4 linked regions of the Oryza sativa Japonica Group genome follow. The protein of the gene in region 1 interacts with the protein of each later gene in a pairwise test. Links are inferred from orthologs where the notes say so. Each region holds a gene or a part of one and is shown on either strand. Other genes may lie near its edges. The genes, in order: guanine nucleotide-binding protein subunit beta, coleoptile phototropism protein 1, guanine nucleotide-binding protein subunit gamma 1 and guanine nucleotide-binding protein alpha-1 subunit.

What was found.
Region 2: the proteins of guanine nucleotide-binding protein subunit beta (region 1) and coleoptile phototropism protein 1 interact in a two-hybrid assay, tested with the Arabidopsis thaliana proteins (2 studies listed by BioGRID, with this or other methods). The link is inferred for Oryza sativa Japonica Group from reciprocal best matches to the Arabidopsis thaliana genes AGB1 and NPH3.
Region 3: the proteins of guanine nucleotide-binding protein subunit beta (region 1) and guanine nucleotide-binding protein subunit gamma 1 interact in a two-hybrid assay, tested with the Arabidopsis thaliana proteins (2 studies listed by BioGRID, with this or other methods). The link is inferred for Oryza sativa Japonica Group from reciprocal best matches to the Arabidopsis thaliana genes AGB1 and AGG2.
Region 4: the proteins of guanine nucleotide-binding protein subunit beta (region 1) and guanine nucleotide-binding protein alpha-1 subunit interact in binary tests that used the Arabidopsis thaliana proteins (3 or more experiments, as listed by UniProt). The link is inferred for Oryza sativa Japonica Group from reciprocal best matches to the Arabidopsis thaliana genes AGB1 and GP ALPHA 1.

Annotation. Positions count from the first base shown.
Region 1 is NC_089037.1:27,271,380-27,275,592, reverse strand, and holds the start of guanine nucleotide-binding protein subunit beta, read left to right. Parts: upstream 1-1,360; 5' UTR 1,361-1,539; coding exon 1,540-1,648; intron 1,649-1,776; coding exon 1,777-1,871; intron 1,872-4,213. UniProt on the Arabidopsis thaliana protein: Guanine nucleotide-binding proteins (G proteins) are involved as a modulator or transducer in various transmembrane signaling systems.
Region 2 is NC_089036.1:22,087,880-22,090,634, forward strand, and holds the end of coleoptile phototropism protein 1, read right to left. Parts: intron 2,233-2,755; coding exon 1,442-2,232; intron 1,372-1,441; coding exon 751-1,371; 3' UTR 504-750; downstream 1-503. UniProt on the Arabidopsis thaliana protein: May act as a substrate-specific adapter of an E3 ubiquitin-protein ligase complex (CUL3-RBX1-BTB) which mediates the ubiquitination and subsequent proteasomal degradation of target proteins.
Region 3 is NC_089037.1:25,117,315-25,121,481, reverse strand, and holds the start of guanine nucleotide-binding protein subunit gamma 1, read left to right. Parts: upstream 1-1,333; 5' UTR 1,334-1,588; coding exon 1,589-1,687; intron 1,688-4,167. UniProt on the Arabidopsis thaliana protein: Guanine nucleotide-binding proteins (G proteins) are involved as a modulator or transducer in various transmembrane signaling systems.
Region 4 is NC_089039.1:15,701,819-15,705,833, reverse strand, and holds the start of guanine nucleotide-binding protein alpha-1 subunit, read left to right. Parts: upstream 1-1,151; 5' UTR 1,152-1,493; intron 1,494-2,860; 5' UTR 2,861-2,940; coding exon 2,941-3,033; intron 3,034-3,131; coding exon 3,132-3,204; intron 3,205-3,453; coding exon 3,454-3,491; intron 3,492-3,572; coding exon 3,573-3,662; coding exon of another isoform or gene 3,663-3,681; intron 3,682-3,810; coding exon 3,811-3,888; intron 3,889-4,015. UniProt on the Arabidopsis thaliana protein: Exhibits a fast rate of basal nucleotide exchange. Guanine nucleotide-binding proteins (G proteins) are involved as modulators or transducers in various transmembrane signaling systems.

The sequences.
Region 1 (4,213 bases):
GCTTATATGTATATGCCTATATTTATAGTCGATTATGTTGCATTATTTGTACGTGCATGTTGTCATGCTTGTCTGGAATATGACAGTTTTATCGGATTTTTGGAGTAATTTCTCGTGAGGTAGTATAATGTTCTTTGATGAATGTGGTTTCTATTTTCTTGCGTGTCCCAAACATTGCATTGGCTTAAGTTTTTAACCCTTGTGCATACTTGTAACGAAAGAGATTTGTGGATTTCAAAAGACAATATAACATCAGGGTCGTAATCTGAAATTGAAAGGTGCTTTTATCCGTCAAACGGAAGAAAAAAAAAAGGTACCCGTAGTGTCATTTTCGATGTTGTGGAATTAGTTTGTGGGATAGCAGTTGGTAGGCCAGATCTTTTGGCCATTTTCCTTCGTTGGTTTTTCTTGCCATGTGGCAACATGATTGACCTTTCAACATCATTCTTCTGTAAGAGCTGAGTTGTTGAATCAACCTTGCAAAGGGATCCCATACACATTGTAAAAAAAAAATGGTGGCGATTTAGAAAGAAAAGTATTGACGGTTACAAAGGGAAGTGTTGTAATTCCCATTTTTGAGTCATACTGTATTGACTTGTGAGCGAAATATAATGAAATCTAAAGAAATATTCTTTTATATGAAAGAATTGAACAGTTTTACAGTTACTTAAAATACAGATGTCATCATTCCATCCATTCTCACCGTGCGTAGGAGGTCGCGAAAAGGCTAACGGAGGATCGATCGCCCCTAGCGATCACCCCCTCCTTCACGTGGTTTCTTTTTTTGGCACCACATTATTTTTCTATTTTAGTAAATTTATGCATCTAAAGTTTATACACCCCAAGTTTACACATCTAAAGTTTAGAGACCCAAAGTTTATAAGTCAAATGATCTTTTCTATAAATTGATTTATAGTTCTCTATTTTACACATTGTATTCCGATTGAAATTCAATGTCATTTCATAGGATTTAGCCTTCGAGAAATCTCGTATCAGCATCGATGCATCTTCTTCTTCTTCCGAACTCTCTACACTCAGTTGAACAACAGAGAAAATCAAGCCACAGATACTACTAGCTGACAACAAATCAACAATAACTAGTTTCTCAAAAAAAAAAACTTGCATAAACATGTGACAGTCGCCCGCTCACACAACGGTCACTCCCCGGTGGTCCCTTTACCCCCACTTCTCCCCAGTCTGCCATAAAACCAACCCTACTACCGCGGGCCCCACGTTCAGGTGGGCCCCACATGTCATCCACATAAAAACAGCCTAGTCGGACACCTCCTCCTCTTTCCTCCTCCTAAACCCAACGCAACGCGTCCCCCAACAACTCGCCCCCCCCCCCCTCTCTTCCTCCACCCCATTTCGGCGTCCGTTTCTCGCCGCCGCCGCCGTGGTAGTATCCTCCTCCTCCTCGCGAGCTCCGGAAAGCTCCAGCCGAGGCCATTGCGTTCCTCGCCTCCATGCCCGGATCCCAGTAGATCCCCCCTCCCTCAACCAGCGCGAGGTCGCGGGGGGCGTGCGGGCGGCGGCGGCATGGCGTCCGTGGCGGAGCTCAAGGAGAAGCACGCGGCGGCCACGGCGTCGGTGAACTCCCTGCGGGAGCGGCTCCGTCAGAGGCGGCAGATGCTGCTCGACACCGACGGTGAGGTCCCCCCCCACCCACCCCTCCAACCCCCACAGGCGGTGGGAGCTCTCGAGGGCTCGGGGTGAATTTAGCGGGGTTTATTTTTTTTGCTGATTGTTTTGGGGTGTGTGTATGTGTATGTGCAGTGGAGAGGTACTCGAGGACGCAGGGGCGGACGCCGGTGAGCTTCAACCCGACGGATCTGGTGTGCTGCCGCACGCTTCAAGGCCACAGCGGAAAGGTTGCTGATCAGTTGACTTTCTGCCTCTCGTATCTCAATTTCGGTACAGCTTTTGCGAATTGGGGTTCGGTCGTACGGTTTTGGAGGTTGAATTGTGGAAGAAGAGATGGATGAAGTACTAGCACTTGTTTGCGATTAGAAATAGTTGCAACTGGTGCTAGACGGGGTGGTAGTGTAAGCCCAGTTAATTTCGAGTGAGTAAGATTCGGTGATTGGGTTGGTACCTCTAGTTAAGAAACTTGACATTAAGTTGAATGCATCATTTTTGGGCAAATATTGATTATTTGGTCTAATTTTGTGTGGATTTTAGCATGTTTTTAATACTGGTCAAGTTGCATTGTTGTAGATTAGAGTTAAATTATCTTGTGTTTAGGAATGTTGGTAGGAGGAACTTGAATTCGAGATGCTATTCAAGAAGAAGAAAGTTAATTAAGCACTTATGTCATATTTGCTGTTTTGCATGCTTTTGTTGCTTTATTTGCCTTATGTTATATAAATGGTAATACAATTAGTTGAACTGTGTGGTGTGTAGCTACTCTCTGGTTTTGAGGAGGTTTGGTTCTCCTATTTCTAAATATAAAGCCACCATTTGCCTTGAGGAACAAACTTTGTAAACCTTTATTGGTCCAAGAATGTTTTGGTCTGCTTATCCTTTACTGTGGGAAGCGGAGAAAGTCTTCTTTTATGGAGGTTGCTCTTGTTATAAAGGATAAGGCTCAAGACCTTTGGTTCACAGGAATGAGATGAAGGTGGATAAGTAGAGTAACTTTGTTAAATGCTATATTTTGTGTGTAATAATAAAAAACCTGTGTAGGTAGATGCACTTTTGGTTGCTTCCATCCTTAGAATTCCATTCTTTACCTGTGTATTTCATTTTCAATCAGAGCAGGGGTTAGTCCTTTTCCTTCTAAAAAGTGAAATCGCTATGATACTTTACAATATTTAAGCATGTGTTGGCTAATATTTTTTTATAGATGGCATTACATCCTAATCAGATAGTACTACCCATAGACAGAACTAGGTTGAACTAGATTGCAATTTTGACAACCAGTTCATCATTTACCTGTTTAGAATTCTATCGTCCCCTAGAAATGTTGTTTCACTTGTGTCCATTGAATCAACCAGAGTCATATTCTAAAAAAAGTGCCAAAAATAGGTTTTGTTAGAATGTATTCCCCATATAGGCAATACTGTTTTTGTATATTTTATGGAATAAAATTCCACTAGTTGATTTGCAGAAGCAATGTCACAGACAACCATCGCTGGCTGCCTCCCTCCCTTATGCATGGAATGGTAACATGCTTATTGCAAAACTTGGACATGGTTGAGTGATTTGGTATACAAACATTAGTCTCTCCTAGGAGGATAGTTCAGTGTTTATTTCTCCTTTCTAGTCACAGCTGCATGTATTCCCTTTGTTCACTTTTATGCGGCATGGTTTGACTTGTCATGGTCTCAAAGATTGTTACCATTGGTTTCTCTTATAGTATATTGATTTTTTTTATGGTACTCTTAATTACACCTTGGTCCAATGGATGGCATTCATATTACCTCATTGGAGGTAATAGATCGCGTAAAAAGGAAAGAAAAATAAAATCATGAACCTGCAATAAAAATTGTTTGCCAATAAAGTAAGGGACAATTGTGTTTGTACTCCAGCTTTCAATCTCCACTGTGATTTTGCCCTCACTTTTTAGGGTTTGCAAATTTACCCATGTTTTTTCAAAATGAAGTCACCGTTTACCCCTACTATGGATGGAAGTTAGGTGGGTCCCACAATAATGAGCTAAGGAGACATAAAAAAGGGGGAAAAACGATTTTAGAAAAATGAGACTACCATTCTACCCTTGAGCATGTTCAGTCTCCTGTTATCCTCCACCGTTTCCATCAGATCATCCACAAATCCTAGACCTAGAGCATGCGGCAGCGGTCGTGAGCCTGTGCGGAAACACAAGCAGGTGGTGGCTCCTCGGCGCAGTGACGCCAGCAGCAGTTCGCGGCAGCGGCAGCGGCTCTGGCGAGCCTGTGTGGAAATGCGAGCAGGTGGTGGCGGTGGCTCCGGCTAGCCTGTGCGGAAACGCGAGCAGGCAGCAGTTCCTTGACGCGTTGAAGCAAACGGCAGTCCACGGAGGCTCCGGCAAGCAGGCGGCGGTGATTCCTCGGCGCATCGATGCAAGCAGTAGTCTGTTTTTTTATGGCGGCAGTGGCTCCTCGGCAACAAATCCTAATCCTAAGTTGTGGCTTACAGACTCTGCATAACCATGGCTCTGGGCTAGAAGATTGCAGAGTAAACCAACTGAAATCCATGGTCGATTCTTGCCTCTCTTGAGTTCATATGATGC
Region 2 (2,755 bases), on another chromosome or scaffold:
AGTACTTGCTAGAAGCTACAGTTCTATAGGCACAAAACCCTACCCATGCAACAGTTTTTTTTTTCCCACAGCAGTATATTGCCTCCTTACCGGTGCGTTGTGTAGTGATGGTGCTTGGCAGGCTCATGCACAGACACACGAAAAAAAAATAATCAAGCGGGCATGTGCAGGGGGAGGCTTAATACAGTTCGTCGCGCTCGATTAGTTCCATCTGTAAACGGCCGGCTTAAAAATTAAACCACTTTAGCTACAAAGACAAATAATTAAACAAATTTCTTTCTATATATGCAAGAATCATTTCAAAGTTCTAGAACTAATACATTGATCTTCCAACAAACTTAGCCCATCGTTTAGCATACGCTGATTATAAGCCGTAATGGCTTATGAGCAATCAAAAAATAATGTGCGTGCGTGCGTACATGTCCTTAACGATTTAAAAGTAAAAATTGAAAAATAAACTACGGTTTAAAAAAGACCTAAATCAACTCTAAAATTCAGTTTTAAAATTCAAATTTAAGCTGAAAGAAGACCGATTGTTTCTCAAGACAAATAGGAGACAACGGCTAAAATCATCTGCTTGAGTAGTCCTCAGACTCTGCATAAAATGGATTAATTCTGTCTGAAAACGCCATGAACATCACTACATCAAACTGAGCAAAATGGACTCTCTCAAAATACAAAAGACCCATGAAATTACTTGAAAGTTGAAACCAATCAACCATACAGCATCTAGCTAGGCAGCTACTCCATTTACGAGATGGAGTTCCTCCACCTTCTCGGGCCCTTCCTCGCCGCGGCCTCGCCGCCGCCGGGCGGCGCCACGCCACCACCGGCCGCCGCGTCGGCGCCGGACATCTTGGCCAGCCTGCCCAGCTTCTTCCACCCGCTGCTCCACGCCGACGCCGACGTGCCCTGCTGCTGCTGCTTGCCGATCTTGGCGGCCGCCGGCGACGGCGCGCCGCCGCCGCGGCCGTCCACCTGTTTCTGGAGCGCGTCCATCTCGTGCTGGAGCTCCAGGTACTTGGCCTTCATGCTCTCCAGCTCGAACTTGAGCGTGTTGATGTCCTTCTTCGCCGCCGCCCACCCCTCCTGGAACGACTGCGGCGTCCCGTCCAGCAGCTGCCGCCGCGTCGTCGGCATCGCCGGCGCGGCGTCCGCCCCCGGCGCCGAAGACGACGACCTGAGCGCCGCGGAGGAGCTCGCCAGCGCGTTGCTGATCTTGACCTGCTCGGTGAAGAGCACCTGCACCACCACCCGCAGCGGCAGCCTCTCGTTCTGCGCCGCGTGCATGCACGCGTCGAACGACAGCTTCTGGCAGTCCATCACCCTGCACAGCCTCTTCCTCTCGTGCTCCGTCAGCGTCGGGTGCGCCTGCAAATCGATCGATCGCCATTAACTCCGGCGATCACCGGAAACTAGCTAGCTGTAATGTGCTAGTTACCTTGAGGTAGGAGTCGACGGCGCGGTACAGGCCGTCGTCGCAGGCGCGCGCCGACTCCGGCAGCGACTCGGCGAGGACCTGGAACTTGGTGAGGGAGAGGTTGCGGTCGCGGGAGACCTCGGAGAGGTAGCTGTCGAGCAGCCGGGCGACGCGCGCCTTGGCGTTCAGCCCGCCCGTCGACGCCGACGCCGACGCCGCGGCCGCGGACGACGGCGGCATCCTCCCGCTGTAGTACTCCGGCTGCGGCGGCGGCGGAGGGTCGCCGCGGCCGGGGCTGGACGCCACCGCCATCTCCGTCTGCTCCTGAACCAGGAAGTGCTCGACGAGGCGCTGCACGAGGTCGACGTCGTAGGCGGTGTCGGCGGCGCGGCCGCCGTAGGAGGGGATGAGGAGGTCGGCGAGCGCCGCCTGCTCGAGCTGCATCCCGACGCGCTTCTCGAGCTCGGTGACCAGCGCCGGGGCGGCCCTGAGCATGATGGCGAGGCGGAGGAGGCGGAGGAGGAAGCCGCAGGAGACGCTGTCCCGCTGCGGCGGGGTGATGCTGATGATGCTCTCCACCACCATGCGCTGCTCGCGCGACGGCGCGCTGCAGGCGGCGAGGACGTCGTCCTTGCCGCCGCCGGCGCCGGAGATGATCATCATGTGGAGGCCGCCGCCGCCGACGCCGGCGGCGGAGGCCTGCGCCCACGGCTCGTCGTGGGTGGCGCCGAGCGGGGCGTCCTTGGTGAGGCCGGGGAGCCATTTCGACGCGTAGTGGGTGATCGCCGCGCCGATCAGGTCGAACCGCATGCCTGTCAAAAAAAAAAACTTACGTTTTTAGTTGATGGAATTCTTGAAACAGTTCAGCTACTGTATATGCACCGTGCAAATTTGTTAATGTCTGGGGTAAATCTTTTACAATTGTTAGCATGCACTTATCTTGTGCAGTTTTTTTTTTCAAAATAATTAACTGTAGCCATTATAGTTTTATCGTGGATACACCATATTTTCAAACTAATGGTCTATTTACTTCATAGCCACACTTTTGACAGCCATAGTTTATTAGGTTCATGTTATGGTTTGACACATTTTTTTTAATAGTATGTTCTACACGTCATATGCTCAATTTTTTTTGTCAACTTTGCTATATTTTGTGGCTAGCAATTTATTGTGGCTGTCACTACCTTCTTAGTTGTAGTAAAGTGTCACCGGTAACCAAATACACCCTACATTTCCATAGGCAGTTTCTGCCCGTGCAAAGGCCATTTTAGGTGCCCGTAGAAATGTTCTTTTAGTAGTAGATGTTTTTGCATCCTCTAATAGCAGAAATGCTCA
Region 3 (4,167 bases), about 2.2 Mb from region 1:
CTTAGAAAAACCTTGTGTGAATAAATAAGAATAATATGATTAGTGATTACTCTATCAGAAACATGTAAGATTTACCATCCGGTTTTTCTCATACAAAGTTTTTAATGAGACAATGTTAGATACAAGCTTATGCCTTATCTCATGTTTTCCTCACAGGGATTTTTCTAGACATAAAACAAGGCATGGATTACCCCTTAAACATTACATATTTCTGATAGAGTAATCACCAATCACATTATTTCTATTTTTTTCCCACAGGGTTTTTCAAAGGAACTAAAGAACAAGTTGGTCTCAAGATGGACTCGATAAAAATGAGGAGTGTTACAAAAGCATCATTAGGTCATATTTGATCTTATCAAAGGGCAGCAATTGCAGCAATCAAGTGAATCATCAATCTTGTAAAAGTCATTTTAAGGAGCATTTGTGACATATAAATAGCCACATTCAGAGGCTTAAATCTCCCCTAAATCCTAGGAGAATCCTAGGCATCATGTATACATACACTGTAAAAGAGGACATATTGAGATCAATAAAATTGATCGGATTCATTGTTCACCTATTGTTATCTAATAAAAACATCATATATCCGATACGACAGGAGTACCTGGTAGAAAATTTGCTTGATGTCATGATCGTTATGCTCGTGGATTATGACTTTGATGAAATGTTGCCGCATCTAGCTCTTGATCAAAGCAGTGGATCGATGGACTCATGGACTGGCTCATGAGTCATGACACCCATGGCGAAGTTAAAAAAACATATACATGAGATAAATGTATTTTGTTTACGTCAGCAAAAAAAATAATATAAAACATGTATTTACGGAAGAGCCAAACGAGTAAAAGAAAAGAAAAACGAACGCAAACGAAGATCAACAGTCCCATCGTTTCACACATACTTAGGTTTATCCATACAAATTATTAGCAACTTAAAAATGTAAATTCCTAAGTAAGGTTTTTATATACGTGTCTTTAGTGACTCAGAAGCAAATATTATGAAACAAACTACGATTAAAAAACATAAATTAAATATAAACTACTTGTTTGCAAAATCAATGTCCTACTACTCCCTTCGTCAAAAAAAAATCAGTACTAGATGTGACATATTCATATTTGTTGTACTAGGATGTGTCACATCCGGTACTAGGTTGGTTATTCGTAGGACAGAGGGAGTATATCTTACTGGATTTTGTCACTCTAAAATTAAGTTATAAAAATTAAAATTTGATTTTACAAACATAAAAATAACCGAAATGACGGGGCCAAAGAAAGAGACAATGGGAAAAGTATAAGACACATGCAGCGTCTCGCTCGACTGAACCTGAACCTGAAACTGAAACTGAAAACCTGTACTCCCAAGTCTGAAAGTTGCAGGCAGAAGATCCGTCCCGTACTCCCGTCGTCCATCATTCAGAAACCACAGCGAGAGAGACAGAGACAGAGCCAAAAGAAAAAAAAACCAACCTTTTCCGTCGCCACCCCGCCCTCCGTCCGTGACAACTCCACCTCCACTTCTCTCCTCTCTCGTCTTTTGCTGCTCTGCCCAACCCACCCGCACCACCGCACCCGCACCGGATCGAACGGCGGTGATGCAGGCCGGAGGAGGAGGGGACGCCGGGGACACGCGGGGGCGGCACCGGATCCAGGCGGAGCTCAAGAAGCTCGAGCAAGAGGCGCGCTTTCTCGAGGTCCGTCTCCCTCTCTCTCTCCTCTTCCTCCCTTGTTTCTTGGTCGACTAGCATTACCGGTCTTCTTCCCAAATTTGGTTCCAGAATTCTTGCAGTATTAAAGGTTAGATTTCATCTAGGAGTATATAGCAAAAAAGGGGGAAAAAGGAAAGAAAAATAGTTTCTTTAGGACTTTCTGTTATGGGGATTATTTGGTGTGAAATTAATGGAGGAGAGCATTTCAATTCTCCTCTGCAAAGGTGCCGCATATTCCGCCTCGAAATTAACGAAAATGCATGCTATGCTTTTTTGCCTAACATTTCGCTCGGCTCGATCATGTTCAATGATTCCAATCCCATGTTCCCATATGACCGAGCACGAAGCGCTCGCCATGTTTGTCCAAGGTTTCTTTTTGTTGCCTTCTGTCCGAACTTGCTTGATCCCCATGGCGGCCCATATGGGTGAGGAAATGTGGGGGGAGAGGAGCAGAGAAGTCAAGCGCATGTGCATGGTCGCCGTGCAGAGCCTGCTTGTCCTAAACAAAAAAATATTTATTTCCGTACCTTTTTGTGGGCCTTTTCTTTTCTAGTATTTCCTGCCTGACTATTTGTAGTTTGTAGAGTTCTTTTTTTTTTTAAGGATCTATACCAGAGCCCAGAGAAACAAAAGTGCTCTTCTGTGTCATCTAATGATTGGGGACTGACAGTGTACTCAAGAGTGAAGACTGCTTCAGGGATACTACTGAATACTGATGCCCCTTCCTGGGGACCTGTTTAGAATGGGTAGCCATGTGTTCTGGTTTGTTTTGTGAGATCCAATCTAGTTTTTTGTTGGATCAAAAGGCTTGCTGAATAAATGGTTCTCCTAAACTCTAAAATAACACTAGGATTTATGAAATGGTAAATGAAATTGATTGCTGCGAAACCTTAGCATGACTCGCTAGCCAATTTGTTCACTGCTGGTACAGGAAAGTACCGCTATGAATTCACTAATTTTTGTTGACATAGTTATTTTCTGTTACTTGATAGTTCTATCTGTTTTTGTGTTATTTTACAGTACTTATGATGTGTAAGGGGCATTCTGACATGATTGCCCCTTTGCAAAAATGACATCTGCAATATATCCTTGCTCTATCAACAAATAAAAAGGAACTTGTCTGTATGTTCTTTGAGTAATCAGCTAACCATTTTAGTTATGTGCATCACTCAAAATGCTTAATTTGTAAGTTCTTAGAATTAGACGCCAAATGAATACTATCATATGCTCTGTACTCACTATTGAGGAATCAAGATTGTGAAGAGAAAGGAGAACAATCATTCTAGAAGAATGTTTATCTGTTTGTTCTATAAAACTGTTTTAGTATTTTGTGTTAAATCTCTTCATTATGCACATGGGTACCAGTTTCAGAGGATACAAGTAAGTCGTAATGCAAATGTAGTTCTTCTTTTGTGGTAAATGCTGTTGTCAACATCGTACTGTAGTCTGTCTTGAAATAACAACAGTGAACAAATAGAATCAATTTAATGAACCACACAATAGAACTTCATTTTAGAGTTTTTTTTTGGGTGGTAAATGATGTTGTCAACATCGTACTGTAGTCTGTCTTGAAATAACAACAGTGAACAAATAGAATCAATTTAATGAACCACACAATAGAATTTCATTTTCGTTTTTGTAGTAAATCCTGTTGCAATTGGTACAGTATCACACTGTAGTTCTCATTCCTTCTCATTGGAGGAAGTTTTCTTCTTTCTTCTGTCAACATCGGATCTGTCACATACTCAGATGGGAAAGTGACCTTTGAAGTCATGTACTGTGAGTTTACCATACTCAACTGAGTAAATAAAGTAACTAGAAAATAAAACTACCAAGGACTAATGGGTGTTTATCACCTTTCTTTAGATAATGGAAGAATCTCACTCGGTCTCTATATCAGGGGTATACATAGCCACACTTATTGCAAACTTGTGATATACAATCACATTGATAAAAAGAAGTGGTAACAAGCATAAGAAAAAGAAAATTCCCAATGATCATAAAACCTGTTGTCCATGTGTATCGAGATCCATGGACCATGGCCATGCGCTCCAAAGTATGGCTGGGGCACGTAATTTAGTGGGTCTTAGCCTACTAACCCACTTCATAGAATTGATGGTTCACTGGCCTCCTAATTTATCGTCAAATTTATGCATTTATATTTGAAGAAAATGAACTAAAGTGCGTTCACTGGTTAACTCAACTGCCAATCTTTTTATCAGTAAGTATGGCTCACACTAACAGACACACCTGAGGCTCCTCGCACTGAAAGTAAAACCAAAATCATAGACATTTGGATCACATGAAGATGACATGCTGTCATGGGCAGGCATGTTTATGGGAGGGATTTGATGAAGTGCATAATCATGTGAAGTAATTGGATGTGGCCCTGGATCTCGATGGTGTGGCTGCGCTGCTGTGGTCGGGTGGAGTGCCAAGGAGGCTGGAATGGAAGAAAGAGAATA
Region 4 (4,015 bases), on another chromosome or scaffold:
CAGGTATTCCACCATTTCAGGGTTGGGAGTGTGATTGATATGCAGGAGATTGACATTGTGCAGAACATTGGCCGTCAGGCTGCCGCTGCCGTCGCCGGTGGTGTCGGTGAGAAAGCCCGGTGGTGGTGGTTGTGCCGGCGGCGAGGAGTGGCTGCAACAGGATGGGCTGTTGTGCATGGGCGGATCAGCGGGTGGCTTATGGCGGTGGCCACGCTGTTCGCCGGCGACGGACCCGGCGGCGGCGGCCTTCACGAGGGACGGCGCATGATGATCCTGGATAATTTCGAGACTTCGGGCCGGCGTGCGTGCAAAGCCCATACATATTCTACGCGCAACTGTCACGCACAAAAACGAAGTTTTTAGTACCACATGGAAAATCTATGACGACTGACACCGGCATAAAAGACGACGCGCTCGCATCGCTCCTGGCGAGCTCGGTGGCGTGAGCTTGTTACCCCAGCTGCGGGGGGGCGGGAGTTGGCATGTTTCGGCTGCTGGAGAAAATGAGGTTTCTCCCTCGATCGAATATGGATGCAAACATCCTCCCGACTTTGGCCCACGAGGGAGGGAAGGTGTGAGTCACCCTGGGCTCTTGACGGCTGCGTCATGGAGCGAAGAGGACGCTGAATCGTGGGAGAGGTGTGTGGTGGCCGGTGCCCGACGACGGCGCCTGGCGATGCGTGGGGAGAAGGCGAGCAGTTGTATGTGAAGAGGACGCTGAATCGTGGGAGAGGTGTGTGGTGGCCGGTGCCCGACGACGGCGCCTGGCGATGGGTGGGGAGAAGGCGAGCAGTTGTAGTTGGGACCCGCCACACCCCGCACGTGCGCAAGTCCATGACGTGAGCGCTCCCGGTCATTAGGAGCCACGTCAGCTGGCGGCCTCCGCCGTTGAGCTTTTCCCTGCCAACCGACACCCTTCTCCCCACCCATTGGCGAATGCCCTAGAGGTTTGGGTTGAGATAGGAGTAGAGGGGAGTGAGGTGGAAGAAGATTGCTAGTTGGCTTGTGGGTTCCACGTGGGCCCTGCACTGACTCAGCCACCACGTCAACAAAACCGGAAAGCAATACTACCTTGGGATTAAAAGTGGACCGTTTTGCAAGATTAGGGGTTCAGGGCCGTTTAAAACTCAACGACAAGATAAGGGACCTTAGATGAACTTTTTTGGGAGATGAGGCGCCTGTGCATATGACCCATAGGCAGGCGACAACGCGGCAGCAGAGCGCTGCACGACCTCCGCCTCCCCAATCCGTCCCGTCTCCTCGCCCGCCGCCCTCGACTCCCGTCTCCTCGCCTGCCGCTGGCGCCGATCTCCATCCTGCTAGCAGAGGTGGCGCCGGCGTCCTCCTGCTCCCGCCGCATTCGCATCCTAATCCATCCCATCCGGCCTCGGCCTCGAATTTCGTCTCCTCGCCCGCCGCTTGCGCCGATCCCCATCCTGCGAGCAGAGGTGGCGCCCGGCGTCCTCCTTCTTCCACCGCATCGTCGCTCGCCGGTGAGCATCCCTCCCTACCCACACCTCATCAGGTATTCTGCGTTATCCCTCAAAAAGTTTGGGGGTTCAACCGAAACAGGGTTAGATCTGCCTCTGCCCAGCTCCACCTACTTTCAAGTTGTTAATTTTGATTTCCGTTTTTAGCAGATGTAATTTGGTTATTGAATCTCATCCAAACACCCTTAGAACGAAAAATGTAAGCTCACATAATTTGTACTCATCCAAACTCACATAAATTTCTTAAGAAGAATCTAGACCACAAACTACCCATAGTCACACAAAATATCTTTTTATCAAGGTATATTCTTATAAGTAATTTTTATTCCACAAAATTTTCTAAAGGACATACTGTGACACTTGGCATGAATCTAATTTAACATTCTTTCTTTATCAGGTTATAAATTGAAACCATTGAACGTACTTTGTCTTCCCGTCCCTAAAACATTGTGATATATCTGTAATATTTTAATATTTTTAATTTTAAAAATAATTTAGACTAATAATATAGATATTTAAATTAGGTAATTAGTAAATTCAAATCAACTATAGTTTGGAATAAAAAAACAAAATGATATATGCCAAGTACAATCTAATAACAATAGAATGCACTTTTGGTTAATGTTTACTCCTAATTTCTTAATTTCTAGTTTGGCTCCCCCCACCGTTATGGTAAAAAATCGTTATGTTTTAACTATTTATCTGCTAGAGCATATGTAATATTTATGTAAACTATGTTCTTTATTACCAATCAAAATAGACACCTTACCTACTTTCATCAAAAGAAATAAAAAATGTAGTAGGTATTATTCTGGAATACTCCTCGTCGGAAACATATGGAACGCATTTCCCTCAAAACGCAAAAACCGGGGCCCCGAGCCCTCGACACCAACCCCGTCAGATGTGAAGCCGACGGCCCAAATGGAGGCCAGCGGTGCCAATGCGTAGGCCACGCGTGCCTCTGCGCAAATCTTATCTCCCGGGAGGCTTCGCTCCACTTCCCTCCCCGAGTCACTCAAACCATCCAATCCCCCCACCTTCCCTTTCCTTGCCCCCATTCCCCACCGTCGCAAGGAAAAATATTATTAATAAACAATGATGTTGATGTATTATTATTAAACAATGATATTGATGTATTTCTAAATATTTTCACGTATTATTTATTAAGTGTCAGTGATTGAAATGGATCCTGGTCGGAAATGAATCCTGGTCGGAAAATGGTTACTAATGTTTTTCCTTCATATAATATTTCTGGATATGTATAACAATGTGGGTCAGCAATATTGAACTATGCAAACCATTACTCTGTACAATCTTTTCTTTTCAAATGCTGGCCACATTTCGCTCGAGCTTACTGCTCATGTATGCAGCTCATGGATCCTGAGATCTAGACGTCAACGTGCTTCCTGGAAAGAGAGAGGCTCAGGCATGAGAGCATACCTCTAAAATAATGTCCGTGCTTACCTGTGTGCTTGATAACATGGGCTCATCCTGTAGCAGATCTCATTCTTTAAGTGAGGCTGAAACAACCAAAAATGCAAAAGTAAGTTAGCACTCGGACTTATTGAACAAGTAAATGCTAACTCAATTCTTGATTTGAGAGTTGCCACATTTGGTTTCTTCTAATTCAGCTGGTAACAGTCTGCAGACATTGACAGGCGAATTTTGCAAGAGACAAAAGCAGAGCAACACATCCACAAGCTCTTACTTCTTGGTATTGCTAACTTTCCCAAATTTAAGTGGTCATTTTCCTTGTCACAATTATCTGTGCTACCTTTAGTATCTATTGGTTCAGAAAATTAATTGTTTATGTTGTTCCTATTTACCTCTATAAAAAAACCTTTCTCATGTTATTTCCAAAAAAAAAGAAGATAAATAAATGTATCCTAGAAATTTTTAGTTTGAACTTGTTCTCAATGTGGATCCATCCTTCTTTCTCTCTCTCAATTGCTTCTGTTTTAAGGTGCGGGAGAATCAGGGAAGTCTACGATATTTAAACAGGTGATGAATGTTATATTCCATGGAGAATCATAATCCGTACGCCGCTAGTTAGTCTGATGTATTCTTACTGTTCACCTGCAGATTAAGCTCCTTTTCCAAACTGGCTTTGATGAGGCAGAACTTAGGAGCTACACATCAGTTATCCATGCAAACGTCTATCAGACAATTAAAGTATGCAATACTGGAAAGGGTGTGTCTTTTTTTTCTTATTGCAAAGTGGGGATTATGTAGGAGATTCGACTAGGGATTTGTATTCTGTTCATAAGGAAATGCGTTCATACTTTTCCTTTTTGTCGAGTAATGTGTTAAATGTTAACAGATACTATATGAAGGAGCAAAAGAACTCTCACAAGTGGAATCAGATTCCTCAAAGTATGTTATATCCCCAGATAACCAGGTTTGTGCTTACTCTTTACTCAACAGTTAAAGCTAAATCTGTGCATATGAACATGTCTTGTTAAATCTGGGAATACAAACATTTTGATTTGCAACATTTCTGTTGTAGTCAAGCTGCTCGGCTCTAT